Linked DNA regions of Elephas maximus indicus. The protein of the gene in region 2 interacts with the protein of the main gene of each other region in a biochemical or structural test. Links are inferred from orthologs where the notes say so. Each region holds a gene or a part of one and is shown on either strand. Other genes may lie near its edges.

What was found.
Region 1: of the proteins of MAPK8 (region 2) and STAT3, one has a biochemical effect on the other in vitro, tested with the Homo sapiens proteins (2 studies listed by BioGRID). The link is inferred for Elephas maximus indicus from reciprocal best matches to the Homo sapiens genes MAPK8 and STAT3.
Region 3: of the proteins of MAPK8 (region 2) and MAP3K1, one has a biochemical effect on the other in vitro, tested with the Homo sapiens proteins (3 studies listed by BioGRID, with this or other methods). The link is inferred for Elephas maximus indicus from reciprocal best matches to the Homo sapiens genes MAPK8 and MAP3K1.
Region 4: of the proteins of MAPK8 (region 2) and ELK1, one has a biochemical effect on the other in vitro, tested with the Homo sapiens proteins (3 studies listed by BioGRID). The link is inferred for Elephas maximus indicus from reciprocal best matches to the Homo sapiens genes MAPK8 and ELK1.

The regions. Positions count from the first base shown.
Region 1 is NC_064837.1:49,311,640-49,319,514, reverse strand, and holds the start of STAT3 (signal transducer and activator of transcription 3), read left to right. Parts: upstream 1-4,634; 5' UTR 4,635-4,864; intron 4,865-7,875. UniProt on the Homo sapiens protein: Signal transducer and transcription activator that mediates cellular responses to interleukins, KITLG/SCF, LEP and other growth factors. Once activated, recruits coactivators, such as NCOA1 or MED1, to the promoter region of the target gene.
Region 2 is NC_064834.1:1,515,211-1,523,183, forward strand, and holds the start of MAPK8 (mitogen-activated protein kinase 8), read left to right. Parts: upstream 1-4,712; 5' UTR 4,713-4,900; intron 4,901-7,973. UniProt on the Homo sapiens protein: Serine/threonine-protein kinase involved in various processes such as cell proliferation, differentiation, migration, transformation and programmed cell death.
Region 3 is NC_064820.1:60,717,971-60,726,422, forward strand, and holds the start of MAP3K1 (mitogen-activated protein kinase kinase kinase 1), read left to right. Parts: upstream 1-5,019; 5' UTR 5,020-5,055; coding exon 5,056-5,537; intron 5,538-5,543; exon of another isoform or gene 5,544-5,841; intron 5,842-6,064; exon of another isoform or gene 6,065-6,171; intron 6,172-8,452. UniProt on the Homo sapiens protein: Component of a protein kinase signal transduction cascade. Activates the ERK and JNK kinase pathways by phosphorylation of MAP2K1 and MAP2K4. May phosphorylate the MAPK8/JNK1 kinase.
Region 4 is NC_064846.1:123,965,344-123,972,630, reverse strand, and holds the start of ELK1 (ETS domain-containing protein Elk-1), read right to left. Parts: upstream 3,388-7,287; 5' UTR 3,277-3,387; intron 1-3,276. Other genes in the region: protein UXT, read right to left, coding at 4,701-4,754, 4,955-5,018. UniProt on the Homo sapiens protein: Transcription factor that binds to purine-rich DNA sequences. Forms a ternary complex with SRF and the ETS and SRF motifs of the serum response element (SRE) on the promoter region of immediate early genes such as FOS and IER2.

The DNA.
Region 1 (7,875 bases), on a different chromosome or scaffold from region 2:
TGCTTCTCTCTGCCTTTATTCACTTGGTGGGTAGAGGGTGGGGACTCACTTTTTCTCTCCTCGAGACCCTTTTTTGGGCATTCAAGAGGAAGCTTAACCCATTGCCGTCCTCGAGTTGATTCTGACTCATAGCAAAGAGGAAGCTTAGACCTGGAGATATAATCACAGAATAGTTATTCAGGCTTTCAAATTAGACACACTTGGAGTTGAATCCTGGCTCTGCTACTTACCAACTCTATGTTTTTGGGTAAATCACTTAATCTTGGGTAAGCCCATTTTAAGGAGCCCTGGTGGCTAGTGGCTAGGGCTTTGAACCAGTTCGCTCTGGTTTGAACCCCTGATGATAATTTGCATTTCTAACAAGTTCCCTGCTGGGAATTCGCATTTCTAATGAGTTCCCAGGAAGTTATACCTAAGAATCTGATTAAAATGTAGATTCAGTATATCTGGAGTGGAAATGCAAATTATCAGCTTGGAACTTCTTAGAAATGCAAATTCTCAGCAGGGAACTTGTTAGAAATACAAATTCTTAGCAAGGGTTCCAGCTGAACAAGCTGATTTGAAGCCCTGCTGGTGGCACAACAGTTAAGCCAGTTAAGCTGTTAAAGGGCCTGGCTGCTAACCAAAAGTTTGATGGTTTGAACTCATCCAGAGGCTCTGCAGAACAAAAACCTGTGAAGATTACAGCCAGAAAAAACTATGAGGCAGTTTACTCTGTCACCTGGGGTCATTATGAGTAGGAATTGACTCACAGCACCCAACAACAAGCCTCATTTTAGTCATCTGTAAAATCACAGTATCCTCCTTTCACTTAAAGCACAATAAAAATTTAAAAAAACAAAAACAGTATCGTCCTTTTGGGGTTACTGTAAGGATTAAATAAATTAATAGGTGTGTTTACATGAGTTAATACATGCTTAAAGCAATGATTAGCACACAGTAAAAAAATACCCCAAAAAGCAAACCTGCTGCCATCAAGTCAGCTCCAACTCATACAGACCCCATAGGGTTTCCAAGGCTGTAAATCTCCATGGAAGCAGGCTGCCACATCTTTCTTCTGGGGATCCACTGGTGGTTTCCAACCATGGACTTTTTTGGTTAGCAGCCGAGCACTTCACCCACTGCGCCACCAGGGCTCGCAGTACACAGTTACACTCCATAAATATTAGCTATTGCTGATACCATTATTCAACTCGTATTTATTAACATATAATTAACTCAGTCTTGCATGAATTCTATGTTAGATACCACATGCTGGGGTTAAGAAAAGGAGCAGTAATTCCATCAAGCTTCCAGGAACCTAAATTAGGGGGAAATGTTATCTACCATGTGGGTAGAGAGTGCAGACTTTGGAGTCAACCAGGCCTGATTCTCATTCTGAGTTTGTCCCTAGTTTCCAGCTGTGTGGCCTTCGATCAATCTTTAACTTTCTAAGCCTTAGTTTCCTCAGTTGTCAATGAGAATTATAATAGCACCCACCTTGCTAGGTTCTTGAAAGGATCAAATGAGATAATCTATGTAAAATGCTTAGCACATTTCCTGGAACATAGTAAATAGTTAATAAATGCTAATTATTAATTTTATTTATCAGGAAGTAGACTCATAAATGAAGACACTGTCATCCAAGGTGGTGAATGCTATACTTGATGTGGAAGCAACCTGCTGAGCAAGTCCAACAGAAGTGATTCACTTTGCCAGGAAGAATCTAGGAAAGCCTAGACAAGGTGGTGTTGGAATGGGGCTTTGAAGGATAAATAAAAGTTTTTCAGGTAAGGAATGAGGGGAGGGAAGGTGTTCCATGTGGAGGAAAGAATATCCATAAAGGCATGGCATTGCAGAAGGTGCTGGCATGTTTGAAGGAAGATAAGTTCAGTGTGGGAGCTTAGGGTGTGTGGGACAGAGGGGATGAGATGGGAAAAGGGGGTTTAGGCCAGGTTTTGTAGGACTTTGTAAGCCAAAACAAGAGGGCGGAAAGAACACTGAGTTCCTACCAGATGCCCAACACTGACTTAGATGTTCTCTCTCTATATATACATACCTTTTTTTTTTTAATCTAATTTGCGTTTTATCCTGTAGGTAATAGAGAACAGTAGAGATTTTTAAGTAGGCTGTGACATGACTGCTTATTTATTTATTTAATTTTTAGGACAATGTCCCTGGCAGCCAGGGGAAGGACAGGCTGGAGTGAGGAGAGAATAGTCAGGAAGCCACAGGGTTGGCCCAAGCGAAACTGCCATCTTTAACCAGGAGGGATTCGGCAGAGGTGTGGAGAAGGCCAGCGGCTAGGCTGTGGAGAGGTTCCAGGGTCAAATGTATAGGCTCAGGGATAGATTTTATGTGTAAATGAGGTAGAGAGGCAGTGAGGAAATGAAAACCAGTTGGTGAGGGGTCAGGGGAGGAGAATAGGGTTTGAGTGAATGGAGCAAAGCTATGAGATCTGGAGTCCAAAAACCAGACTCTGAACCCACCTGGATTAGCTGTGAGTACCTTTGTAGTCTGGAGAACTTTACCCTATCTTGACCTTAGTTTCTTATCAGTGAAACAGGTGCTAATAATATGGCTTCTCCTATCTATCACATGCCGATTGTTGTGAGAAAAAAAAGGGGTAACAAGTGTAAAAGTGCTTTGTAAGCAGTAAATCACTAAATAAATATTAGACCCACCGTTATTAGGGAGGAAGCCCTGGTGACGCAGTGGTTAAGAGCTACAGCTGCTAACCAAAAGGTCAGCAGTTTGAATCCACCAGGCGCTCCTTGGAAATCATATGGGGCAGTTCTACCCTGTCCTATAGAGTTGCTATGAGTCAGAATCCACTGGACGGCAGTGGGTTTTAGTTTTGGTTATTAGGGAGGCACTCAACTGCATGGTATAGCACAGCTGAGAGACAGTTTAGGTGAGGTGGAAGGTGGACGGTTATCTGTCCTGGGGTGGAGAGAAAACAAACAGGGTGCTCAACACATGCTACACACAAGCACAGTGATTTCCACACTGGGCTGGGTCTACAGGAGGGACATGGGAGACTCTCAATCCCATACCTAGTGACCCTATCAGGTGCCCCACAGCTGCTCTCATCTCTCACTTGGATGTACTGAGGTCCAAGAGGTCCAAATCTAGTGTCTTTGAACGGATTTCGGGTAGCTGAGGAACGATGTTAAGTCTGACAAGTAAATGCTACGTGGTGTGTTTTTCTGGGGCTGGAAACCATAGTCTCCATTAGACTCTCAGAGGGTTTGTGACCCCCTCCTAAAGTCAAGAGTCATTGATTTTCTCACCAGAAATTAATAAGAATAGTTACCCTCGGAGAGAGGGGCTGGTGAAAAGGGGAAGGAGGAGATTTTCATTTTCCACTTTCTGAACGGTTTGAACTTTCTAACCATGAGTATGTATTAAAAAACTTAAAAAAATGTGTATTAGTTTCATTTAAAAAAACTGCCACTAGGGGTAGGGGTTATCTGGATGATGAGAAAATGGGCTCTTTTTAGATTTGTGTTTACAAACATAAATACTAATAGTTGCTATTTTAAAGGAAACCCTGGTGGTGTAGTGGTAAGAACTATAGCTGCTAATCAGAGTCGGCAGTTCAAATCCACCAGGCGCTCCTTGGAAACAGTCTGGGGCAGTTTTACTCTGTCCTATAGGATCGTTATGAGTCAGAATCGAATCGACGGCAACGGGTTTTTTGTTATTTTAAAACCCTGTTAGTATCAGCAAAACAAATGCAAAAATCACTCCATTATGCAAAGTTTATCCTCTATTATGACTCCATTATGCGAAACCTACACTTCCTATAAACTACTGGCTTCAATTCAGTAAAACCTGCGTAAGAAGTAGACGGGTGAAAAAAAAAAAAACAAAAAACAGGCAAATTCAGGTATTTCAACTCAGGCATAAAAATGTCAAATACTGAGTATACGTGTCAACCTTCATATATATTGGCGTATGAAGCTTCAAGGAATGGAAAGGAAGACAGGGTTAAATCCACTACCCTCTCCCCACGCACTCTAGTAATTACTCTATTTCCACGTCATGTTTCCGGGTGTGTATGTCCCGACTCAAGCAGAAATTAAGTTCAAAGCAGGCAGGAGTCACCCATGTTCTTTTTGTTATCCGCCAGAAACCCGACTCAGGAGCTGGGCCCCCTGAGGACCTGGCGATACCTGGGGACTGTCTAACTGGCTGAATCGCACGTGGTAAGAGGCTCCCAACCTCGCCTCCACGTGGTGCCAAAGGCCGGGAACAGGGAGAGCGGGCAGGCGGGAGCCGCATCAGGGGCATTTAAAGTGTCTTGACGTCACACACTGCCAGGAACTCAGCTGAGTTTTCAGCAGGACATTCCAGTCATCTTTCCTCCCTCCCCCCGGGCCTCTGTGCCGCTGGCCTCTGCTCTTCCCCGGCTGTTGTGGAGGGAGGAGCACTACGCCCTCCGGAGCAGCCAGCACAGGGGCGTCCCCAGCCTTTACTTGGCTCCGCCCCTTCCCCCAGTGACTCTTTTGATTGGTCGGTGGGTAGGGCTTCGTAGGTACAGTGCGCGCAGCGGAGCCTCTGGATGGCGGAGACAGCTGGCTATCTCATGAATTATGCATAACAGCGTGTCTAAGCCCGGCAGGCGCTGGGCGGGGATTGGCTGGAGGGGCTGTAATTCAGCCGTTTCCGGAGCTGTGGCGGCGTAGGCCCGGAGGAGGAGCCTGGGGTTCCGACGTCGCCACGGAGGGAGCGAGCCCTAACCGGATCCTTGACTAGCACCCCAACTTGGTGTTCTTTCTCCCCGTCTGCTGGGAGAGGCCCCGCGGCCTGAGGGAACCCCGCGGCCCGCACCCCTGCCCAAGCGCAGCCCCGGCCTGTCGGGCCTCAGCCGGAGAAACAGGTGAAGGGGGTGAAGGGTGGGGCCGTCTCCCCAGACGCCCCCAGGCCTGGGGACCCCGGGGACGCGGGAGCGGGTGCGACCTTTTTGGCATGTTTGGGGAAAAACTGGAAACTTCAGTGGGGCGGGGGGAAATGAGGGGACACCTAGCGTCGCTCTGAAGGGACGACTCCCTGGGATGACAGGAGCGGGCCTCTGAAAGGAGAGGGGGCGCTGAAAGGAAGTTTCATTCCTCGGAGAAAAGGGGAGAAGCGGAGGAAGAGTGAGACTGAGCTCGAGAGGGAGGACTGTGGGATGGAGTGGCAGCGGTGAGGGACAGCCCCCCTACTTCCTGCTCCCTGGGACTCTGGGGACGTTCCGGCCACAGGAGAGACTGTCACACCGGCGGAGATCACTGGGGGCGGGGGTGTGGAAAGAGCCTCGTCCCCGCCCCGCTGGCAGGGTCCGGCGGCTCCTGGCTGAGCCACTTCCTCCTTGCCCGGTTCCCGCTCCTTTAGGTGCCAGCTGTAATCCTCCGGAGGTAGGAATAGGTGTCTTCCCCGAGAGCCTGACCGGCTGGTTGGTTGTGGGTAGGATTATTGCATAAGAATCTAGTTTCCTGTAGGGAAATTGACAAGACTTGTACTCTTTCTAAATTCCTTTCCATCTTATTCTAGCTTAAGCCGTGCTTTCCCCCCCTTTTTAAAACAAAACGAAACAAGATAAAACCCCAATCAGGCCAGCCCTAGAGAGAAGTAAACCTCTTTCCCCCTTGGCATTATTCTTTTATAAACACCTGGTAAACACGGCCAGAAGATAAATAATTGAGCCATTGCATTTACTGGATTGTGGTGTTGCTTAATTGCATAGGACAGAATGAACCAATCGACAGTGGTTTCTGTCTCCCAGCCAAGATCTTGGGTAAATGCAGAGGAGAGGAAAGCAAAGACAGGCTGGCCTTGGCGAAGCTATGTGCGCAAACTTTACCTGTGTTTGGGGGTGTGGTTGCCCTTAAATTAGCAAAATTCAAACCCTCGCCCAAGTTGCCTTTTCCATGTTTAGCACACATCACTCTGTTATATCAAGTGGGTGTATGTGTGTTGACATAATCAGTGGTTAGTCACTTTTTTTTATTAAAAAATATAGTTTGTACCTTCTGGTTTTTATTGCATGTGTATGTAAAGGGTGTACTTATTCTGTACATGGATTGTAACTTTTTGGCTGGCTGTGCTAATAAACGTTGGTTTGAATAAGTCAAAATGGTAAATCATCTCCATTTTTATGTGTGAACTTAGACCGTATTGTGATTTGATTCAGCCAATTTTCTATTTTTCTTTATATTAAATATGTCTGTGTTCCCTGAGTCAACACATTGATTTCTTCATTACATATGTCAGACTGGAGTACTAGTAGAAGTTTTGTTCAGATGTTTGCACAGTAGGATGGGAGAGAGAAGTCTGGAATAAAAAAAAAAAAACCTCCGTAGATCTTGGGGGGCTGATCTTAGTCTCTATATCTGTTAGCACACCCACCACAAAGAACCATTAGCAAATTCATGAAAATATGTGTATGTGTATCTTTTGGGAAGGATAGCCATTTAGAAATACCCACAGTTATGACTAGACCCACAAAGGGCTTGTGATAATAGGTCATTCATATAACATTAACCTATTTCGTAAATAAGGAAATTGGGGGCAAATGAACAAGACGCTTGTCCAAGTCAGCAGAGTGCTATAGTGGCAGAACTCATACTTTCTGTATATGTTGTGTTCTTTTTGACTATCAATGGTTAAGTATTAGGTGTTGATTTAGAGTGAATGTAAGCCCTGCTGACATAGTGGTAAAGTGCCACGGCTGCTAACCAAAGGGTCAGCAGTTCGAATCCACCAGGCGCTCCTTGGAAACTCTGTGGGGCAGTTCTACTCTGTCCTGTAGAGTCGCTATGAGTTGGAATCGACTCGACGGCACTGGGTTTGGTTTGGTTTTTGGTAAGCCCTGCTGGGAAAAGTGTCAGTGCAATTCTAACATATATCTGGATGGTGAAATACCTCCAGCAGGCTGTAAGACTCCAAGGAACACAAAGATTCAATAAACAGGTGAAAAAGAAGTACAGATAGGGCTTGCTTAGGTTACTTTTCTAACTGCTATGTCTAACTTGGAAAGTAACTGTTTTTAGTAGGGAAAATGCACCATCAGAACACAGGTATTTGGCTAAGGGAAAGAGATGTTTTCTTAGGGAAAATTTGTTAAGGGAAGGGCAGTTGTGACTTAGATGTCATTTAAACCAGAGTGCTTTGTGGCTTACACTGGTAGTTTGCGTCTCCAGAAAGATGCTTTCTCCTCCCTGCGTCTAAGTGTCTTGACATTCAGGTATGAGATGGGGCAGATGGAGACCATCATTGCAGAAGCTTGAATCCAGCTCCCTTTTAGCTTATGGTTTTCAGAGAGGTGGCATACCAATCCGTCAACAAACATTACTTTGTGAAAGTTGCTGGGAAGAATAAAATGTGTCTTATTCCCAGAATTTGTAATCTACTGGGGTGACTTGATCAGTACTTCAACCATCCAGTGAGACATGTTGTCGTCAAAGAGGTGGTAAGAGCATTGAGCCTGTGCTTTCCAAAAAGGTGGCTATTGTATATAAAAAAAAGCATATAGTACAGATACAGAACATTTCTGTTATTATAGGAAGTTGTATTGGACAGCGCTGCACCAAGCACTACAGTCTTCAGAGGAAGGAGAGGTTATAGGGGCTGAAATTGCCTAGGAAGTCTTCTTGGCAAAGGAGCGATTTGAACTGGGTCTCAAATAATGGGTGGAATTTGGGTAAGTGTAAAGAATTTGGGGTGAGGAGATATGGGGGATATAGTACGAACAAAATCCTGATAGATTTAGGAAGGTAAGTAGGGAAGAAAAAGGCCCTATTTATAAAAGGCTTTGAATGGAAGGCCAAGGAATTTCAGTTCTATCTTTTTGTACAGGGAGCCTTTAAAAGTATTAAATGTTAAAAATCTAGCTACCAGTTTGACTTTGAA
Region 2 (7,973 bases):
CCCCTTACGAAAGAAAGAAAAACAGCCAAGAGCGGAGCTCATCCTTTTGACCTGGGATCTCTGCTCTGAGAAGCTCCTGGAACCAGGAGACTAAGAGAGAGACAGAGAGAGATGTAAAACTGAAGATGGCGAGATGCAGTGGCAAAGAAACGGTGTGGCAGGAGAGACCAGCAGGAGAGGGCACAGTGGGCTCCCTAGCCCACAGAGCAAGAAAGCTGAGTGCCTTTGGGCAGGAGGCTTGCTGGCAGAGTAGGGAGCCTCTGGGCACTTATTGGCAGAGCTAAAAGAACTTTGTAACACTTGCCCCAGCAGGGTAGAGGCCGAGGGTGAGAGAGAGACCTGCCTGTGAGCATAGATGGGAAGAGGCTGTCTTGATGGAAGAGCTGTATCCTGATTGTTCCTGAACCTGAGTTGTAACCTATTACTTACCTAATAAACCCCATAATCATGAGTACCGTCCATGAGTTCAGTGTCGCCATTGCAGTGAGTTACCAAGCTCAGCAGAGAAGTAGAGAGTGCCGTGGGAGGGACAGTTGGTGTTAGAATTGGTAAGGATAGTGGATACAGGAGCCATGTCTGATCTCCATCTCATAGGAATCAGCCTTGGGCTGTTGATCTTGATTCTCCTTCCCTCTTGTGAAGTTAGAGGAGGTCAGATGCCACTTGCACATCAATTTTGCAGTGGGCATGCACTAAATATTTATGAGAAAAATGAAGGAAGGAGATAAAGAAGGCTGTGAGGGAGGGACTCCCTGGGTAGTATTAACAGTTAATGTGCTCAGCTGCTAATTGAAAGGTTGGCGGTTCAAGTCCACCTATCGGCTCCTTGGAAGACAGGTCTAGCAATCTACTTCTGAAAAGTCTGCCACTGAAAACCCTATGGAGCAATCAAAATAAATGGTATCACTAAGAAGTGCTCAGGAGAGAAGGATGTTTGTACTAAAAAAATTGACATATATAATTTGGCAACACCAACAATGACCAAAAAATGAGTGTATGGTCACATATGTATGTGTGTAGGCATACAGGTGTATTAGTAGGTACAGGTGTATACATATATGTGTACAGATAGTAGTAGCTATATAAAAAAAAGTAAAGGTATATATGTGCAGGCATATATATTCATATAGGACTCAATTACAGACACCTTTCAGACATAGACAAACACCTTAAAGAGATTGGTTTTCTTGGTTTGAAGGCTTAGGACCTTAGTGTGACAGGACAACTCAGTCAATTGGCATAACATAGTTCACAAAGTTCATGTTCAGCATCCTAGTGAGGTGAGTAGCATCTTAAAAGCTTGCAAAAAGCTATCTAAGACACAGTTATTGGTCTCTACTCATCACGAACAAAGAGAAAGAAAGAAACCAAAGTCTCAGAGAAGAAACTAGTCTATAGGGCTAATAGTTTTCACTACCCACGGCCTCCTTTACCCTGAAACAAGAACCAGATGGTGTTCAGCTACTGCTGCTGACCATTCTGATATGGGCCACAATAGATGAACCCTGATAGATAAGGAGAAAAACACGAAACAGAACTCTAATTCTTAAGAAGTCCATACCTGTTGGACTAATTGAGACCAGAGAAATCCCTGAGACTATTGCCCTGAGACACTTTTCAAATCTTGAATTGAAATGATCCCGAGGCCGCCTTTTAGCTAAATAACAGAGCAGCACGCAAAATAAAGGATATCAGCCACTCAGCTGTCAGATTGTTGTGCTGTGGTGGCTTGCGTGTTGCTGTGATGCTAGAAGCTGTGCCACCAGTATTTCAAATACCAGCAGGGTCACCCATGGTGGACAGGCTTCAGCGGAGCTTCCAGACTAAGACAGACTAGAAGGAAGGACCTGGCAGCCTACTTCTGAAAAAACTGGCCAGTGGAAACCTTATGAATAGCAGCAGAACATTGTCTGATATAGTGCCAGAAGATGAGCCACTCAGGTTGGAAGGCACCCGAAAGACAACTGGGGAAGAACTGTCTCCTCAAAGTAGAGTTAACCTTAACGATGTGGATGGAGTCAAGCTTTCGCTGACGTGGCACTACTCAAAATAAGAAGCAGCAGCGGACACACTGGCTGCAACAATGGGCTTAAACATAGCAGTGATCGGGGAGGATGGTGCAGGACCAGGCAGCGGTTCGTATTTTGTACATAGGGTCGCTATGAGTCAGAACCAAATCGGTGGCACCTAACAGCAACAACAACAAGCCATGAGTACAGTCCTCTTAAAAAAAAAAATCTAAAGGTCAACAATTACTCTAAAGCAAAGATGAGAGGACAAGGGGGCTGGGAAAATAGAGTACCAGAAATGGAACAAACAGCGCAGTGAAAGAGAATGTTGACTCCTTGTGAAAAACGTAACCAATGTCTCTGAACAAACTGAATAGAAATTGTCAAGTGGGTACCTAATTTACTGTGTAAACTTTCACCAAAAACAATATTATTAAAACAGAACAACCTTATGCAGCACAGTTCTACTCTGACACACATGGGGTTGGAATGTGTCAGAATCAACTCGAGGGCAACTGTTGAGGGAGGAAGAAAATGAAGAAACAATGAATGAAGGAATGAATGTTCACATTTATGTACCATTTCAGAATCACTTGAAATAGGTCAACCCAACATGTAATGAGAAGATAGACTATCAGCAGTCACTCATACTCTTCGATGAATATTTATGCGTTCAATATTCAAGTAACTCATTTACTTCTAATTATGAACATTTGAGAACTTAGGTACATCTGATCCAAACCATGATATTTTTGATCAGCTCATACGCATTTGAAAGCTGGACAATGAATAAGGAAGACTGAAGAAAAATTGATGCCTTTGAATTATGGCGTTGGTGAAAATATTGAATATACATACCATGGACTACCAGAAGGACAAACAAACCTGTCCTGGAAGAAGTACAGCCAAAATGCTTCTTAGAAGCAAGGACGGCAAGACTTGTACTTAGGATGTGTTATCAGGAGGGATCAGTCCCTGGAGAAGGGCATCAAGATCCTCAATGAGATGGACTGAGACAGTAGCTGCAAAGATGGCTCGAACATAACAACGATTGTGAAAATGGCGCAGGACCAGGCAGTGTTTCTTTCTGTTGTACACAGGGTCGTTCTGAGTCAGAACCAACTCGGCACCTAACAACAACATGAACATAACTGCTCTTCTTCGAAATCATGGAAAATACCTAAAGTATAGAAGAGAAACAAATCATCTTTCATTCCAAATCCAGTGGTTAGTCTGCTAAAATAATTTGGCATATTTCTTTCCAGGTTTGTTTCTATGTATGTGTAGTACATAAGTGGGACCATTCTGTACATATATATAGACATACAGACTTGGGGCCCTGGTGGTGCAGTGGGTAAGGATTTGGCTGGTAAATATAAAAGTTGGCAGCTCGAATTCACCAGTAGCTCCTTAGAAACCCTCCCTATAAATCAGTTCCACTCTGTCGTATAGGGTCGCAATGAGTCAGAATCGACTCGAGGGTAAGGGTTATATGGTGTGGACTTGTATCTTGCTTCTTTCTCTTAAGGACAGATTATGAACATTCCCCATGTCATTAAGAATTCCTTGAACACGTGGCTTTCAGGTTGCTAAAATGCCTTCCGCTACATGGATGTGGCGCTCTGGGGGCCGGTGGTTAACAGCTATGGCGAACTAAAGCTGCTGACCAAGAGGTCGGCAGTTCGAATCCACCAGCCGCTCCCTGGGAACTCTGGTAATTTAAATATCTTTCTACCAATTTTTGGATATTTAAGGGCTTGCCAATTTAACACTACCGTTTGCTGCCTAATTTCGTGTCACGCTTTGTGGGGCCCCAAATCGGGTAATATGACTTGCTAGACCCGGGTAGGTGCCTCAGAATGGTACGTATTGTCCGTGCCTGGGTGGGGGTGCCTGCTTGAGGTGCGGGTTTGGTCTGAGCGCGCCTGACCTTCAAGCCCGGCCGGAAGCTTTTTCTCAGACTAGCTGACAGCCCCAGGCAGATGCCGAGCGCTGGGAACCGACGCCTCCACGTGCCCCGCGCAGGGTCCCGCCCCTCCGGCCGCCGCCACGCCCCTCGGTCCCCCGGCCGTCCTCTCCCGCAGCTCCATTTCCAGGCGGCCTCCGCGAGCGCGCCTTCCCCGGAATAGCCCCGCCCCCGGGCCGCAGCCACGCCCCTCAGTCCCTAGGCCATCCTCTCCCTCAGCTCCACGCCTTCCCCGGGAGTAGCCCCGCCCCCGGGCCGCAGCCACGCCCCTCAGTCCCCAGGCCGTCCTCTCCCGCAGCTCCATTTCCAGGCGGTCTCCGCGAGCGCGCCCTCCCCGGAGTAGCCCCGCCCCCGGGCCGCAGCCACGCCCCTCAGTCCCCAGGCCGTCCTCTCCCGCAGCTCCATTTCCAGGCGGTCTCCGCGAGTGCGCCCTCCCCGGAGTAGCCCCGCCCCCGGGCCGCAGCCACGCCCCTCAGTCCCCCGGCCGTTCTCTCCCGCAGCTCCATTTCCAGGCGGCCGCCGCGAGCGCGCCCTCCCCGGAGTAGCCCCGCCCCCGGGCCGCAGCCACGCCCCTCAGTCCCCCGGCCGTTCTCTCCCGCAGCTCCATTTCCAGGCGGCCGCCGCGAGCGCGCCCTCCCCGGAGTAGCCCCGCCCCCGGGCCGCGGGCTCCACCCCCAGAATCCGGGCCCCGGGCCGCTCCGGCCCCGCGGGCCGCTCGGGAGGCGCGGGGGCGGGCCCTACGCGATGACGTGCGCGGGCCTGCGCGGTGGAGGCTCGCGTCCCTGTTACTCAGCGGAGCGGTGGCGGCCGGACTACGCGGCCCGGTGGCGGAGCCGCGAGCTTCGCTGGGGAACGGCCGCGGCCGCTGCGGGACGGCGCCTGTCCCCGCCGGCGGCTCCGTTGTCCTCGTCCGCGCCTCTGCCGGGTGAGTGCGGCGGGCGCCTCGGGGCCGGGGCGAGCGGGCGGCCGGGCGGACGGCCCTCGGTGTTTGTTATTGTGCGGCTGCCGCGCCGCCTTCTCCTCAGCCCGACCCCCTCCCGGCAGTGGGGGCGGGGGCGCGGCGGGCGGCGGGCGGCGCGGGAACAATAGCGGTCGGGAGGCGGCGGCCGGGCCGGGGCGGGGTGCAGGCGGGCCCGAGCGGCGCCCCGAGCGGCCCTGACGGACCCCGAGCGGCGCCCCGAGCGGCGCCCCGCCTGACCCCGAGCGGCCCCGGCTGCCTCCCCACGGGGCCTGCGGGGGCGCGCGGCGCTCTTTGTGCGGACGCTCTGGGCGGGCGCGGGCGGCCGCGCGGGAAGGGCCTCCAGCTCTGGGCGCCCGGCGGAGGGCGGTGGTCTCCCGAGGTGGGCTTGCGGTCCGCGGTCGGCGCGTCTCCCCGGAGGGGCGCCCCGTGGGGGCCCCGGGCTTTTCTCCCCACCCTCGTCCCTTTGTCTGCGGCTGTGTCCCCGACCCGTGGGGGCAGGGCCGAGTCCGTCTGAACGTATCTGACGGGCGCCTTTCGTCTGAGTCGCGAAAAACTCCCGGTCAGACCTGCCCCGCGGGTCCCTGCCGCGTCGCCCGCGCGCTCCGACGGTGCCCGGGGTCGCTCCGTGTCCGCCTCTGGGCGCCGCGCCGGGGCTCCGGGGAGACTGGACGGCCAGCGCGTTGTCTCCACACGAGCGTCCCGGAGGCGCCTCCTTGGCGGTCCCAGCGTCCGTCTGTCTGTCGTTCATTCATTCACTCAGCTCCTCCCGTGAGCTGTACGCAGATCTGTTTGAAGGTTAGGGGAGGCCCGTGAGTGGTGCGTGTTAAAGAAGAGAGAGTCGTGCTCTGGGCGTTTTTACACATTTTTGTTTTTGTAGTACGGCTGGAACTTCTAATGTCAATAGGTATTAGGAACTGGAGTCAGATTTGCTGTAAGTCTACAACAGATTTTATTTATTTCAGGTTTTATCTCCTAGGGCACTTTGTAATGGTTACCTCAGATTCCCCTGTTACCTTCAAGCCTAGGAGGTCAGATTTCGGAAGTGAACCTGCTTAGTGTTGTCCCCAAGCCAGGAACGTCTTACATCCGTGTCTTCAGAGCCTAGTCTGCAATATAGCAAGTGCCGAATAGTCAGACAGATGAAACGCTCTTTATAATTGGTAGTATTTAAAATTAAGTCTTTGAAAAAAACCCAAAAAACTTCTAATGTTCTCCATAAAGTTCCAGAGGCTTCATGCAAACTGTCACTTCCAGATATCTAATTGATCGGTTCATTCGTATTATCTGTCATGGCAATAGAGGCTTTTGAATCACTCCAGCATCAATTTTTTCCTGTCACTTCTAGGCCATATCCTAAAATAAACCTTGTCTAAAGTATGGTTTTTTAGTGTGATTGATCAAGTAAGGTAGATTGTGTTTTGTGTGTATATGTGTATGTGCAGCACATCCTTTTGTGAATATTATTTGAAAGATTTTCGGTGACTCTAAGTGGAAAAGCTAGGACAGAAGAAACAAGCTGCACAAATGTTTTATTAGGAGTGCCTAATTTATTTCTAATAAATTTTTGTAAATGTTTATTAGAAATGTTTAAATTCCTTGTCCTTACACTTTTGACAGAACATTTGGCTCCCAGTCTCTCTCCAACTAACTAAATACATTCTAGCATAGTTTTGGATATGAAAGGATTTGAGGCGAACTTCTGTTATCCAATGTAGGGTAGAAATGATAAAATTAGAAAATGATACTTTATTAAGATGAGGAATGAAAACTTTGAGATACAAACGTTTACTGCTTTACCTAGTTGAGATTTGTCAGATTCCAGTAAGGGTTACTGATAAAAATCCTTTGGCAGCAGCTCACAGTCAGGCTACATTTAGAATGAAAGTTTTTTGTTTTGTTTTTCTAAATTCTGTTTTTTTAATGGTAGCTTTTTTGAGATATAATTCACCCATACCGTAGAATTGACCCTTTTAGAGTGTACAATTTAGTGGTTTTTTAGTATATTTACAAAGTTGAGTATTGATCACCATGGTTTAATTCCAGAGCGTTTTTATCACCCTAAGAAGTGACCCCATACCCATTGGCAGTCAGTGTCCACTGCCGGCTAAACGCTGTCTTAAAGGAAGAGATAGCACTGACTCTGTTAGTAGGTGTATTCCATTGATGGGTTTGAAAAGGACGCCCTCTACGTGTCCTGGTAGATTAGGAAGCTATATTCTTTCTATTCCTTTACATCCTGGGGGAAATGCCACTTGGAAAGAAAATTGGGGTAAGAATAAATTATACCAAAATTGAAGAGGTTAGAATCTTAAGTATTTGCTTTATACTTAATATTATGGAAATGACCTCGTGGGGATACCCAGTGCACAGTGAAACAACTTGAAGTAATTTGTTGTTAAATGACTAGTCACATAGTATTGTGGTGGTAATTAAGAGTGAATCCAAGCCTGATGCTTGTTAGTCTGCTTTGCCGGCGAGTTGAGTTTTGACATACTTGAGTCATCTGGATGGTTGAGGTGCTTTGTTGCACATGTAGAAGTATAAAAGCATGCTGACCATTGAGAGGCCAGCTCTCTAGGGACCTCTGGTCAGGAGTGGTATGGGTAGTGCCCTTTCTGACTCATATAGTGCAAGGAAGTCTATGACCACACAGCTTTAGATATGAATCGTTGGCCTGTTTCAGTAAGCTGTGATGCTTATTGTCTTAGTCATGAGCTCCTTACCTGAACGTTTAGAAGCTTTGTGTTTTTGCTTGAACGCAGGTTACCTTGAAGTTTGATTTCACAGATGAGTTCTGATTCAACAGAATTTATGACTTAAAAGGTGACCCGCCAAACCCAAACCTGTTGCTGTGGAGTTGACTCTGACTCACGGAGCCCCGTGCACTGTATCACAGAGTGGAGCTGCTCCATAGGGTTTTCTTGGCTGTGATCTTAATGGAAGCAGTTCGCCAGGCCCTCTTTCTGTGGAGCCTCTGGCTGGGTCCAGGAGTAGTGAAAGAAGAGTCGTCCTATCAGTCAGGGTAGTAGATGGAGCT
Region 3 (8,452 bases), on a different chromosome or scaffold from region 2:
TATTATACATTCATCTGGTCTAATCAGGCATTTTCACAGTATATAAAACCCATAGGTCTTAGGCACTATGGCTGTAGGGCTATGCTATCCAATACGGTATGTGTGACTTCTAGCACTTGAAGTGTGGCTAGAACAAATTGAGATGTGGTGTAAGTATGAAATGTACACCATATTTCAAATGCCTAATACAAAAAAAAAGAGTAAAATAATGTTATTAATATTTTATATTGATTACAAAGTAAATGATAATATTTTGGATATATTATGTAAAATAAAATACATTATTAAAATTAATTTCACCTGCTTTTTTTTTTTTTTTTGACTGTGACTACTAGAAAATTTAAATTACATATGTGGCTCACATTTTACTTCTACCAGACAGCACTGCTCTGGTAGATGACAATTTTGTACACCTTTTCAGGTATTTTGGCCTCAGAACAACATAAATCAATTGCAAAGTGAAAATGCAAACGTTGCAGAAGGTAGCAATTTGAATATTAAGGAGATCCTTGAGAAAATGTATGCTGTCTTTGAATATTTATGCAAAAATTATAGTCATAATTAAGCCACAAAAGTTCACAAAGCCAATGGAAGTGGTACTGAACCGCTTGGTTCACAAACAAAGCCTTGTCTACATAGGATTCAGTGAATCATAAAGGAAGATAAAACTGGCAAGGACGCTAATCCAAAGAGAGTAATTCGAATATTATAGGAGGTCCTTGAGAAAATGTCTGAGGTCTTTGAATATTTTTGCACAGATTATAGTCATGATTAAGCCACAAAGGTCAAACCAACAAAGAATATCTTGTCATATATCAAAAAACAGCAATCAACGTGGCTCATTCAAAGAATTGAAAAAATTAGAGCAGAGTTGTAAAGATAAGCAGATTTTTGCTAATATTAGACAGAGCAATCTTAATAAATTGTGGTTTTATTTGTTAATATAAAATCCCAATTCAACTGTTTTACTTATTTACTACAAAATTTAGTTTCTAATTTCAAGTACATGCAAATAAATGCAAAATGTTTAGATGGTTGTTTAATAAAAGGGAATCATAAAAACATATATTTATTTAAAATACTTTACTTAAGCTTAAAACATATAAAGGCTTTCCTTTGGTTTGGTTTGGGGTTTTTGTTTTTTCCAAGTATTCGACTCTAGGGCCTTGGTCTTTTGAGTGTGGGTCCACTGTTCTATTTATCTTGCTCACATATTGCATTGCCTACAGTTTCCAGTTTCAGTTTCTTTAAAGTGAGAACTGAAAAATACCTGCAAAGTAATTTTTTTTTTTAGATTTGAATGCTTTTTTCCCACTTTTTTACAATCATCACAACTGCAACTAACTTGAAGATATTTTTTTCAATGACTGGCCTTCATTCATTCTTTCAAAATATTTAACTTAATTTTTATTGGTACAGTTTTCTTTTTGCACTTACATACTCATGTTGCATTAATTTAATAATCCGTTTAATAATATTTAATTAAATTTCCTAAGCAAAGTTATGATAGGTATAATCAGGTTCGAGAATAAACACAACAGACTCTCCCAGGGACCATAATTCACCTGCCGGGAGCAGAAGTGGGCAGGTGCACACCAGCCACTGACCATGAACATTCATTGTGCAGTGGCATTCCTCAGCATGTCATACACAGAGAACGACAAGCAACTGTTACTGATGAGTCAGGTAAGTAGAGGCTAGTTAAAAACTTTCTACAATTATGTCACCTGCAGTGCCCTTGTAGTGGAACCAGTAATCCACAGATAGCAGTTTCCTGACTAAAACATCTGGAAACACCTGGCAAATGTGGTATCTGGGAAGAACATGGCAAAACCAAGATCTAACCCCAGCTCTCCTGCTCCCTAATAAATATTTATAAAGCCTGGAGGAACACCAGCTTTTGTCCTATTCTCAAGGTTACATTCTTACTTTTTATAGCCATCTAAGATTTTTTTTTATAACTCACGCAAGTGTGAATACGTGTATACACACTGATGGATCTTAAATTCTAAATCAGAATCAGTCCAATAAATACCCACTAATAAAAACAATTATAGATGGGAATATTTAATTATTTTTTTGTAAATATGAAAAACAACAAACAATATCCTTAGAGGAGAAAACTCCTTGCATGTGAATATCAGGTGCTTAATAAATATATGATGAATGAAATACAAGCTGATATATTTCTGCCATTGCATACTAAGTCTCTTCATTCTAATGTTAGTGATATTTGTGTACAACGAGGAAATACACCAATATTAAACTGGTTTCTCCAAATGAACATGATGTAGCAACTGAAGTGTGACTTAGGTGATTCCCAGAAGCACTATGTGAAAGCAGTGATCTGTAAAGCACTCACATAAAGGCTACAGAAACTGTCGTGGCATAAATGAAATCACGGCAAGGTTTGTATCCTCCAGTGAAGATGGAAATAAGGAGCTTGAAAACAGTAACTGGAGTTTTCAGTTCCAGAAGCGACCTTTGAAGAGACCTGAGTCTCCGTTAAGTCATTAAAGAAATCAAATTAAAGCAATTCAGAGTATACATTAGCTTGATATTTGACATATGAATCTCTGCAGTAATAAAAAAAACATGACACAGCAGCACCAAAACTAGCATTTACAATCTTATCCGTGCTTAAGACTCAGAAACTACGGTAATAATTCCTTGCAGCTGGATTCTCCGCGAAGAAGATTTTATATTAACTTTCCGCCGAAGGAGAACACTCTTTTCCAATCGAGCATGTCCTTTGGTTAGTTTTCTCTCTTAAAGAAAAAAAAAAAAGAGCGAGAGCGAGAGCGAGAAATCAGCAGGCCGGTGTGTAGATGCATAATGGCAATCCGAATATTTACATAAAAGATTAAGGGGAAAATTACTCAAAATGCCAAAAACTATCCAGCTCTCAGGTTTCTAGTGGCAGTGTATGGTGGATAGAGGAGGTCAGAGAATGTAGCTGACTGATAGTGCTGTTTTTGTTCCCATCTGTCTTTGGTCCCAAGTTTGAATCCCTTTGGATGAATTAGTGGGCAAAGGCAAAGTCTGCTGGAATCCTGTTTTATTTTAGCTACTCTGATCAAGCTTCAAAATTGTTCCTATTTTGAAAGGTTCCTGGCTCCACCGAACTTTTCTCACAGGTACCTGACCGTGTGTGTGTGCGTGCGTGTGTGTGTGTGTGTGTGTGTGTAAATGTAAAGGTTTTTAGATCTAAATAGGGAAGTGGAAAGTTTATTCTTTTCAATTTAGTGGGTGTGGCAATCCGGGAAGATCAGGGAAGTAACTACTGTTTGGTTTGGATGATACACTTGGCTATCGTTAAAAGAGCATATAATTATAGGCTAAACGTAGACTTAAAATTTTAACAGATTTATCTAAACTTTCAAAATTTGTACCGTTGGATGTAATTATCTAAAACTGTCTGATGGCAGGTGTTGTACCAGTATTAAAAACAGTGAACTAATATGAAATCAAGACCCTTAAAAACTCCCTCCACTATCACCTTGCTCCTCAGGTAACATACCTAGAAAGGGGGTTTTAATTGTATCAAGAAATGAAAGGAATTATTACATGGATAGTTCAGTCCAGGCCATGCATAGTTCAGGCTTTCGTCTAAATATTATGAAGACAGACAAGATAGCTCTCTCCTTTCTCTGCGTGGGAAGCCCCCTCCCCCCGCATTAAAATAAATTACCATTATTTAGTGTTTCTCAAAATATACCTAGAGACGCTGCTCCTGTCTTCTGGGAGATTTCCCATCACAGACAAACCAACTTAAGAGAAACGCAACACAACTCTACCCGGCTGAACAAAGGTCGAAAATCATTAACATGCAAATGAACCTTTTTCTATCCCAAAGCACCTTACGGCAGACTCTCCCCAGGGATGTTACTGTTGCTAGACCCATCCAGCAGCTCCCCAGGGATCCAGGGGTTCAAAACACCGCGTTTGGCAACCGGGTACTGCGGGGGATGGGGATGGGGGTGGGGGTGGAGGCACCTGGGACCATCGCCCGACCCCGCCAGGAAGAGGGACGTGCAGCGAGGGGCGTCGGGTTTGGGGAGGGCCAGGGCCAGGCTGAGGATGACATTATCGAGCACTTCCTGCACAGCGTAGGTTCCTTCCCCAAAGGTGCTCTATCTGGTTCTGTGCCCTTTCCAAAGTCAGAGCCGAGGAAAAAACAAAGCTCCTCAGGACATCCATGTGTCTCCATAGCCAAGTGGTACTGGGGAGACAAGGGCTGTCTGAAACCAACGACTTCAGGATGTAAACACGGTATTCCAAGAAACTTTGAAGTTTTGATTATTTGTAGCACGAGGGGCGGGGGACAAAAGAAGAGGAAAAATTTCTTCAAAAAAAAACTTTGTTTTTGGTCCGCAGCAGCACGTCCACTGAACGTTGGGTTTCTTTCGCTTTGCAGCAGGCAACACCCCCGGCGCCACCTGCGCGTCGCGCGCGGAGCGGGCAGGATGGGGCTTGGCCCGCGCCCGGGTCTCCCGACGCCACTGCAAAGGGCAGTGTGAATGACAAGACTGCAAATCTCCTCCCCAACATCCCCTTCCACGCATCACACGCACACATTCCAACTAATTATTTATTTCGGAAGCTGCAACTTCAGTAGGGCGAGCTCCCGGTGGGCCGAGCCGAGATTGCAGCAGACACGAAGCGGCGCGATGCTGCCACTCCGGCACCTCCTGTGGCCGGTGAGGCCCGCGACTACCTGGCGGCGCGGCGGGCGCAGCACGCAGAGTCCAGGAAGTTCCACCGCCGCCACGTCCGAGTCCACGGCGCCGGCCCGCCCGCCCCGCCGAGCGCGCAGCCCACTCCCCCCAACCTGCTGCGCCGCCGCCCCCGCCGACCCGCCCTCCGCCTCCGGCCAAACCCCGCGCCCCCGCCCGCCCGTCTGTCCCGGGCAGAGCCCGGCGGGCCACGCTCACGCAGTTGGCGCAGGCAGTTCTACGCTGGCGGCGCAGCGCCCGCCGGTCCGCCCGCCCCCTGCGCTCTCCCCGCCCCCTCCCTCCCTCTCGGGGGCCGAGCGAATGTAGCCCGCGAGAGAAAATGGCGGCGGCGGCGGGGAATCGCGCCTCGTCGTCGGGATTCCCGGGCGCCGGGGCGGTGAGCCCCGAGGCGGGCGGCGGCAGAGGGCCCCTGAAGGCGAGCAGCGTGCCCGCGGCAGCCGCGGGGCTCCTGCGGGAGGCGGGCAGCGGGGGCCGCGAGCGGGCGGAGTGGCGGCGGCGGCAGCTGCGCAAAGTGCGGAGTGTGGAGCTGGACCGGCTGCCCGAGCCGCCGATCTTCCTCGCCGCTTCTCCGCCGTCCTCCTCAACTTCCCCGTCGCCGGAGCCCGCGGACTCGGCAGCGGGCGGGAGCGGTTTCCAGCCTCTGGCGGTGCCGCCGCCCCACGGAGCCGTGAGCCGCTGCGGCGCCCAGCCTGCAGAGCTAGTGGCCGCTTCGGACAGCGGCGCCCCGAACCTCGCAGGGGCCGAGCCCGGGGAGAAGCGAGCGTCCGCCGCCGAGCCGTCTCCTGCAGCGGCCCCCACCGGGTGAGTAGCACCGCCGGGGGCGCGGAGAGAACTTTGGTTGTAGGCAGAGGGCAATGAATGAACCCCGGGTACCGTGCGCAGCGTCCTGGGGCCGCGTTCTGGGATACTGCGCGCCGCTTGCCGGGGTCCGAACCCCCGCACCCCCCGGGCACCCTCTCAGACCTCCTCCCGGCGTCGGGCGGCGCCCCGGACCCGGCCTAGGGGTTGGACGGGGTCCCGGGGCGGGGAAGTGCCGGGGAGTTTGTTATTGTTTGTAGACATGTGACAGACGTGCCAACCCGTCTGCGGGACCCGTTGCGAAAAGGTGTGGAGGCCCTGGCTAGCTCTGGGGCTCTGGGAATCCGTGCTCTCCGAGGAGCCGGGGCTTGAGACCCCGGCGCTGCCCTCAGGGCAATTTGGGGCCGGACCCAGGGGGCAGGGGGCAACCAGGTGGCGGCGCGCCAGGAACGGAGTCTCGGGGACGGGGGGCGAGGCCGGAGCCGGCCGGCGGGCGGTGGTCGGCAAAGGGGCGGGGTGGGTGGGGAGCCCCAACCGGAGGCCGGGGCGAGGGCGAGAGGACAGAAGAGAAAGCGACGAGGTCTCTGCGGCCGTGACAGGCCGAGCCCCTCCGCCCGCCTGGAGCTCGAGTCCTGAGGCAGGTATCGGGGGCCGGGCCCGGATGCCGCGGCGCGCCCCAAGAGCCGGCAGTAGGGGATTCCCGGGGGACGGCTCGGTAACGCCTGTCAAAGCGGTGCGGACAGATAGACTGCAAACTCGTGGGACTTGCAGTCTTTTCGAAATTGGGGTTTTCTAATTGCGTCCCCCCCAAAGGGGCTCCGAGAGTACTTGGGAATGCGAACTGCACGGAGAAGACTAGAGCGACTTCGGTTTGGAGTTTGAATTTGGTCTTTGAAGTTTGCATTTGGCTGAGTGGTGTAAGAGACCCGACCGGATGTGTCAGCCGTTCAATTTCAAAGCGGTGGTGACTGCTCCCCGCAGTTCCTCCGGCGTGGTTCGGGAGCGCGGCGCGGGTGCGGTGCTTCCTGCTCTGTGCAGCTGCGTCGGCCGACTGCCGAATTCCAGGGTTTTTTTGGGGGTTTTGTACAGAGCTGTCGGCTCAGCTAAGACAGACCTGTGGGGCTTATGCAGTACGATACATACGTGCAGTGTAACTCAGAGGAGCGATTCGTGGCCTGACCCTTTTTTCGCAGCTGGGGTTTTTTATGTTAAAGGAAATTCAAATAAATATGACAGCTATAATCTTTTTTTTTTTTTTTAATCTGGCTAACGTATACAAAGCACAAAGTCTTGATGGTGTATTTTGAGTTGCTGGAAATGGTTTTGTGATGGTCACCCTTTGCCCTGTAGAATTCCCTGACCCTTGTTGTGAGTATTTTAAAGAGTGTGTAACTTAGGTTTGTGTTTCTTGTGAGACTAATTTGACAGTGGAAATCTTAGTTTTGGTTCATTATCTGAAGTGATTTGGTACTTTTTTGTGAGATTATTTGTTTAAAACTACAGTTCATTTATTACTTGGATGTCGCTCCCTCCCCTGAAAATAAATAAAAACTAAGAAAAAAAAATAGACTTTACCATGGCAGTATTGAAACAAAAGGAGATTGTGACTGTGATAGTTTTTTGTGTGCACTTGTACATGTAACTTAGTTTTACAAGAGTTATATTCCTTTACAGTTTTCTATTTCTATGCACATTGGACAAAAACTTAACTGGAAAAATTCTTTGAAGGCAAATGTGAGAAATTAGTTTTACCTATACTCATGATACATAACTCTTTGGATGCAATAAATGATTTAGTAAATATCAGCATTCTGGTCTTCTCATTGAGCTATGAATATAGTATAAGGGCAGCCACTGTTAAGATAACACATAGAAGTTGTTTGGTATGGTCTTCTGACACAAAATAAGAGAACTAAGGTGGAAAAAAAAAAGCTATGAATATAGTATAAGGGCAGCCACTGTTAAGATAACACATAGAAGTTGTTTGGTATGGTCTTTTGACACAAAATAAGAGAACTAAAGTGGAGGCAGATAGAATTCAGGGACTGAATAAATCCATGCTTAGTTTTTGTGTTTTATAACCTAGGTTTTTTTCTCCTCTTTGTTTAAGGGGCGGATTATAAATTGCACAGTATATGATATAATAGACTAGTTTGCATAACCTTTTTTTTTTTTTTAATGACTTTCATTAGCCAGAAAGCTTTTGGCTCATCCCACATATAAAAGTAATTATTTCCTTTATAATTAAGTGTTGATTCCCTGTCTTTTTAAAATACGATGATTTTTCTAACTTCTTTGGCAATTGGGGTTGAAATTCATTTCAGTCTCTTGGTATAAACACTGAGTATAAGTAGTTCAATAAAACTTGAATTGAGCTTTGCATTATACTTGTTGACAATAGTTTCATATGTTCAGGAGGAAAATCAGACAGTGAGATTTTGAAATATTTTTATGTTCGAGTAGGAGTAGGGGTCTAAAGACCTCTTCTGTCTAAAGACCTATTTTTTTTTTTATTAATTCTATGATTTCAATTTGAGAATTCCCCTTAGTTTTTTTTTTAACTTTTTTATGTTGAATGTAGAAATTAAAATTGTAGAAAATACACTTGTGAGGTATAAATTATATAAATAACAGTAATTTTTAAAATTGGAGATTTAAAATCTGGCCCTCTTTTTCAGAGTAATAACTGAAATCAGTGAAAGTTTTGTGCCTGTAAGTGGCGCCCAAGCGTTTTGAGTTTTTCCTTGTATTACAGAATTAAGGGCTTTTTCATCCTATTTACTGTCTTTGAAGAAAAATTACAGTGTTACTCTTCATTGAACAGGCTATTGTGAGTTTAGTAGATATAATTACTCCATCCTATTTTGGTAACTTAAAAAGACCAAACTATCAATTTGCTGGCCCCCTGAAAGAACAAG
Region 4 (7,287 bases), on a different chromosome or scaffold from region 2:
TCCTCTTTCCTGTTCTAGCTGTGTGACCTTGAGCAAGTTACTTAAGGCTCTCTGTGTCTGTTTCCTCATCTGTAAAACATCAAAGTAAAACATCCTAAAAAATACACCTACTCTCAAAGGTTTTTGTAAGGATTGAATGTGTCAATATATGTAAAGGACTTAGAAAGCTTCTCTGGCACATGGCAGGCATTCAACAAATGTTAGCTACTAGCTGGTATATCATCCTTTTTCTTCCCATCCCCCCCATTTTATGTCACCTTCCAAGTGAGACCTGCCCTGGCCACCCTAAGATTCCAACCACCCAGTACTCCGTTTCTACCATCCCTACTTCACTTTTTTTCTTTAGCACTTGTCTAATATACTATCGAATTTTACTTGTTTATATATATATATATATATAAAAATATTTATTTATTTATTTATATAGTCTGTCTCCCCAACTAAATGTCTGCTCCACAAGGGTAGGAGTTTCTGCCTATTTTGTTCTACCTAGAAGAGTGCCTGGTACTCAGTAGTTTGTTGAATGATCAATTCCAACTAACTAGCTCTTTTAACTAACTCTCTTATCTTCTCTTTATCTCCATCTGTCCCCCACCCTGATTTGTCTCAATTTTATTTTTTTCATCCATTCATGCAACAAATTCTTATGAAGCACCTACTGCATACCAGGTACATTTTTAGGTGCTGGAGACGCTCCTGTTAATAAACACATAAACATTTTAAGCCCTCACAGTACTCCCATTCTAAAGGGGAGAGACAGACAATAAGCACAATAAACTAGTAAATTATACAGTGTGTTAGAGAGTGATAAAGGGCAAAAGGACAAATAAAGCAGAAAAGGGGCTTGAGCCCTGCCGTGTGTGTGGTTCCAGGGTATCTCTTTTAAACAAGATAGTCAGGGAGGGCCTCATTGAGAGATTGACATTTGAACAGAGGCCTGAATGGAGCCATGCAGGTATCTGGGGGTAGTGCGTTCTCAGCAGAGAAAACAGCCAGTGCAGAGGCCTGGTGTGTTTGAGGACCAGTGAGGAGGAGGCCAGTGTAGCTGAAGCAGGGTTTGTGAGAGGGTGTAAGTGTATGAGGTGAGGCCAGAGAGGTAACTTGTTTTATTAACTCACAGGTATTCTTTATATATACTGGAGAGGGTCTAGTTCTGATTCCCCCATGCTACAAATGAGAAACAGGTGCAGAAAGAAAGTGGCTAAATCACTAATCTAAGGTCACATAGCTTCTGGGATTGGGGGTGGGTGGGTGCTGAGGCAAGGTGTAGATGGAGACAGATCCACAGGCAGAGAAGACAGCAAGAACATAAGTTTGGAGATGGGAACTAATTTGGTTTTTATGGAGTGGGCTCTGCGGAGTGGGATGAGGTAAGGGAAGGGAGCCTCAAAAAGTATCCTGTGCCCTGAGAGGCAGCCTAACCTGGTACTTACTGGGCAACCTTTGAGTAAGGTGTTTAACCTCCCTATGCCTCAGTTTCCTCAACTGTGAAATGGGGATAATGATAATATTTATCTCACAGGGCTGTGGTGAGGATTAAATGAGTTCATTAATGTAAAACACTTAAAAAGCATGCCTGGTACCATATGTGCTCAATCAATATCAGTTTCTATTGGTATTATTATCATCACTATCATTAATGTATTCATTTATTGTAGTAAGGCAGAATGTCTTGGTGGTTAAAGAGTGTGTGTGACCGATGACTGCCCTGAAAAGGAATACAACGGTGAATCCCTGATGGAGCAGGAGAGATGTGGGATGCAGATCTCAAATTCTCATAAAAGGACCAGACAGACATAATGGTCTGAATGAGACTGGAGGGACCCTGGAGGTCATGGTCCCTGGACCCGCTGTTAGCCCAAGACTGGAACCATTCCCAAAGCCAACTCTTCAGACAGGGATTGGATTGGACTATAAGACAGAAAATGATACTGGCGAGGAGTGAGCTTCTTGGCTCAAGTAGACACGAGACTATGTGGGCAGCTCCTGTCTGGAGGCGAGATGAGAAGGAAGAAGGGGACAGGAGCTGGTTGAATGGACACGGGGAATACAGGGTGGAGAGGAGGAGTGTGCTCATATTAGGGGGAGAGCAGCTAGGAGAACATAGCAAGGTGTGTATATGTTTTTATATGAGAGACTGACTTGATTTGTAAACTTTCACTTAAAGCACAAAAAAGTGTGTGTAAGGGGCTGTTATCTAGAGTAAAAAAGATCTGGGTTCAACAAACACACAGGATGATAACAATATTAAAGTTGGGGGCAGGGAAGGCCACAGACTGATCCACAAGGAAAGGAGGGGGGAAATAAAAGCACACAGGTTGAACCCTTTGGGAAAGGGGTTACAAAGCATCGAACTCATGGGAGGGTATGTGGGGCAACGATGTATGAATGCAAGCACACAGATAGCAGGAAGGCCACTGGACAAATCCACCACAAAGGAGAGGAGATATGGCCATACTCCTCTAATGGGAGAAAGGAAGCAAAAAAGCTCATTGACTGATGCCCTACAATGGAGGGGGAGAAAAACCATCACACAGACTGACTAAAAGGAGAGAGCGACAAGGCCATGGACTGGGATACTGGAAGAGGGGATGTATAAAGTACTAGTTTAACTTACTATTAAAAAGAAGAGAGAAGCCCTCCTACTTAAGGTCTGCAAAAAAGTGAGAGAAGACAACGGACTGATGACTACTGAGATGTGTATACAAGCATATAAACTAATCCACCATAAAATGAAAAGGGGGGATAAAGCCATGGGCTGATGCTTTGGGGGACTGGAGAAGGCAAGAATACAAACTCACAGACTGACTCACTATTAAAGAGGGGTGGGGGGTACAACACTACGGATTGATTCACAAGGAACAGGAGGGGTGGAATAAACAAGGCCATAGATGGGTCCCCTGACAATTGAGTATAGGTGAAATACAAGCACTCGGATTCACCTACTATATGGTTGGAAAATGCCACAGACTTGTCCCCTATAAGTGGGGGTGGGGGCAAGACCACGAACGGGTCCACTGTAAGTTGCGGTGGGGAGAAAGACAAACACGCAGACCGATCCATTATAAAATGGGGGAGAGAGGTTAGGCCACGGTCAGATCCACTACAAGGGGCAAAGGAAGCGAACAATACTACAGGCAGGTCCACCAGCCGTGGTGGTAGTGGTGAGGACTCGAACACCATCAGGCCACGGGCTAAAGCACATCCCCCGCGCAGGGGCGGGAAGGATACGTGTGTTCACGGGTGGTCCCCCAACCCTCCAGGTCCAGGGCTCACCTGTGCGCAGCACCGTGGCGGCGTTGGCAGCTCCGGGGGGCGGGGGCTCCATGCACGGCCCCACCGCCCCCCAGGCCCGGGCTCCGAGGCGGCGGCGGCGGTGGCGGCGGGGAGGGGCGGCGGCGGCGGCGGCGGCGGCGGCGGCGGCGGCGGCGGCGGCGGCGGCGGCGGCGGCGGCGGCGGCGGCACCACCTAGAAGCCGACCCTGCGTTTCCCCACCGCTCACGTGGGCCGGTAGAGGTGGAGCTCAGAGCCCCGCCGCTAGCTGATTGGCCCAAGCAGCACGGATCCAATGCGCTACTTGGGGTGAGGAGGTAGGTCCTGCCCCGCAGAGCTATACTGTGATTGGTCCAAAGAGAACCGCTAGCCCGCGGACAACCGCCCAGGTCCGGAGGGAGTGTGTTAGGCCTGCGGTGCTCAGCGCTGATTGGCTCAAGAAGGACTGCTAGACCGTGGGCAGTTAACAAAGTTCTGGCGGGCTAGCCCAGCAGTGATTGGCCTAAATGGGATTGATGGAAGACAGACAACTTCCGAGGGTGGAGGGTGGGTGAAGAGGATTGGCGGATGACAGACTCCTAGACAGCTGCCAAAACAGCAACGGGGTGGTGCTGCACTCCACGCTAAGCGGAAGCAGGACTTTAATAGAAGTGGGAGTAGCAGCTGACCGGGAGGGGGTCGGGCCCTGGCTCTGCGTGGGCGGGCAGGGTAACTCTATGATGATTGGTTAGAAGAGACTAATTTAGCACAGAGCGGAAGTAGGAGGGTCGGAGGGCTGCGAGACACGCGAAGGATCGCTGAGTGGCAGAAACTAAAGGCCTATGATGCAGCCAGTTGTAAAGGGGTGGAATCTAGCCCTGCGTTGATTGGCGAAAACCCAGCTCAACCTAAAAGAGGGGCTGGAGTTAGAAGTGGGGGGGACTAGGCCCGGCTCTGGGCCTGTTGGCAGAAGCTGGAAGCATTTAGAAGCAGCAGCGAGGCCGAAGTTGGGCTGAATGGGGCGTGGGTGTAATTAGTGTACCAGAGAAACTGTCGGGGCGTGGGAGGAGGGTAAACCTTAGGGGCAGGAGTGAAAGGCTGATTGCCCAGGGATCAGCCTGGGCAAATTCCCACCCTGAATTGGCCCATTCTTTATGGCAATTGGAAAGGTGAGGTACAGGAAAAGGACTGGGTGAAGTGGGAGGCCAGGTTGCCAAGGCAACAGAAGAGTGGGTAGAGCGTAAAGGCAAGTGGCAAACGCTGGCCGTCAACAGGCTGGAGGCGGGATTTCTGGGCGTTTTAGAAGAGTCTGGAGCTCTGGGCCTCTTAGTAACTGTGTGCTTTAGAAACAGGGCACTTCGGCAATCAGCAGGGGTTAAGGGGGAAAAAAAAGGCCAAGGGACTCAAAGGCATTCAGGCTCTTTAATGTTGGGGGAGGGCAGCTGAAGTCAGTGATGAGGCTTCTCTGGGAGACTGTGCAGGCCTTGTAGCTCTCTAAGCCCCTGAAAAAGAGGACAGAAGAGTTTAAACAGATACTGGGTCTAGGCCCCACCCTAGCTTACTCTGACCTCCCCTCCCTCAGAGTAGGTCTGGCTCCAGATTGGCAGGAAAGATGGTCCTTCCCTTCTCTGGCTCTCTTCCTTGATTTGTCACCCTAAACACATTTAGTGGTGAGTCTGGGCATGGGCTAAGCTGCTCTCACCTCTAGCAACATATGAATATGGGCCTTGATATTCATGGAGTCCTTGGTAAGGCTGTCGCTGAGCCTGTAGAAGAGAAACAAAAAAGGGCAAGGTGGGCCCTATATATGATTATGACAATGACCATTTCTCATCACTTCACGAACTACATCCTGGATGACTTACACAGGTCATGTGGTACCTGACCTATCACCAGATAGGTCCTACCACCTGACCTGTTCCTCTGCAGAGATGCCTGGCCATCATCTGGACCTCATTAATTAACATTTATTGGATGCCTACTGTATCCAGGTAATTATAGGCACTGGGGAGACAGCAGTGAACACAACAAAAATCCCAGCCTTGTGAAGCTCAGATTCTTGTTAAGAGAGACAAATGATGGAATAAAATATACAGTATGTCAGATGGCTGTAAGTACAATGAAAAAATTAATGAGAGAAGATGAGTGCAGAAATAGGGGATGCAGTTTTAGAGTGTTCAAGGACGGCTTCATTGAGAAGCATTTGAGCAAAGACTTAAAGGAAGTGAAGAAGTGAATCGTGTGGACATATGGACGATGAGTATTCCAGACAGAAGGGACAGCAAATGCAAAGGTGCTTTGTTGTGTCTGAGGCACAACAAAGAGGCCAGCGTGGCTGAGGAGAATAAGTGAAGTGGGACCGCAGTAAGAGGTAAGATCTGAGAGGTAAAGGGGGTGGGATTCAGTAGAGCCTACAAGGCCATGGTGAGGTTTTGAGCAGAGGAGGGACATGAACTGACTTGGGTTTAAAGTGGCCCATCTGGTTATTGTGGCACAGTGGTTAAGTGCTACGCCTGCTAACCAGGACAGCAGTTTGAATCCACCAGCCATTCCTTGGAAACCCTATGGGGCAGTTCTAGTCTGTCCTCTAGGGTTGCTATGAGTAGCAATCAGCTCGACGGGAATGGATTATCTAGTTATTGAGTGAAGAATTTAACTGAGGATAAGGAGAGCTAGTGTGGAAGTAGGAAGTCCAGTGCAGAGGCTATTGTAATAGTTCTGGTGAGAGATGATGGAGGCTCAGGCCACACTTGAGGTAATGAGAAATTATTGGATTAGGGATTTTGATGGTAGAGCCAATGGGATTTGCCAAAGGGTTAGATGTCAGGTGTGACAGAGAGGAGTCAAGGATAATGCCAAGGCCTAAGCAACTGGTAAGATGGAGTTGCCATCTACTGAAAAGGTGAAGAAGTGGGTGCACAGGTTTGGTGGAAGGCAGATCAGTAATTTGTTTGGACATACTAAATTTGAGATGCCTATTAAAGACCTTAAACTGATGATTAATGAAAACATTATCCTGAAAAACTGTTCTACTTCCAAAAGAACAAATTCAACAGCCTGACTTCTAACATCACTCGCCGTGGCAGCCAGTTCAAAGGAGCTTCCTAGGCAACTTGTTCTGACAACTCCTAGATACCTCTGTTCTTCCACTTCCTCATTGGTTTTCCAAACCCTCCTGCAAGCATTTCCATCCTTATCACATTATCACAACCTTGGCAATACGGTTAGTTCACATTCCTCTCTGTCCTTTCACAACCCTCCAGTACTTCATCAACTCAACTATTCACCACCTACATGCCAGTAGCAGGGTCAGCAGAGAGCTATTAAAAAAAAAAACAGACAGAGCTGCAGATGGGTATGCCACTTTGGTACCGTTTCTAAAAGGTGTGGTTCAAGAAGCATTAAAAGCAGAATCATCTGGGAGCTTGTGAAAATGCACTCCCACTTCCAGAGGTCCCGAAGTTTGAGAGCCATGCATCCTAAATTCACCAGCCTGTGTGGGGCCCTCACTGCTCCATGTAGTTCATTCCTTTCTCTGGCTAAGTTGCTTGACACACTATTTCAGACCCTTTATTTAAATCACTAAGTGTGTCAGGCATAATTGTTGAAGTAAAGAAAACTACATGTGGATATACAGGAGTAAACCAAACAGAGAAAGCTTCTCTCCTAAGACTTTACAGTCCCCTGGAAGAGACAGAAATTAAGCAACTAAACTAATATCATTATGTGCTATGATGAAAGAGTGCTGGGTCCTTTGAGAGAGAAAAATAACAGGTGGGAAAAAAGGGTAGAAACAGTCCTGGTCAAATCATTTGGGCCCTGGATCAAGCAGTGCCTGAAATCACTCTGGCCCTAGACAGCTGAGTCACATAAACGAGTACATTTTGGCAGTTTGGACCAGATCTCACCCCCCAAGATTCTCATGGATACAAAAATTCAAAGATGGTCTTTCTGAAAAATGAAGAATGAGTAAGAACTGAAGAATGAGTAAGAGGTAAGAAGGGGGAGGGTCTTTTCCACAAAAAGGCCAAAAGT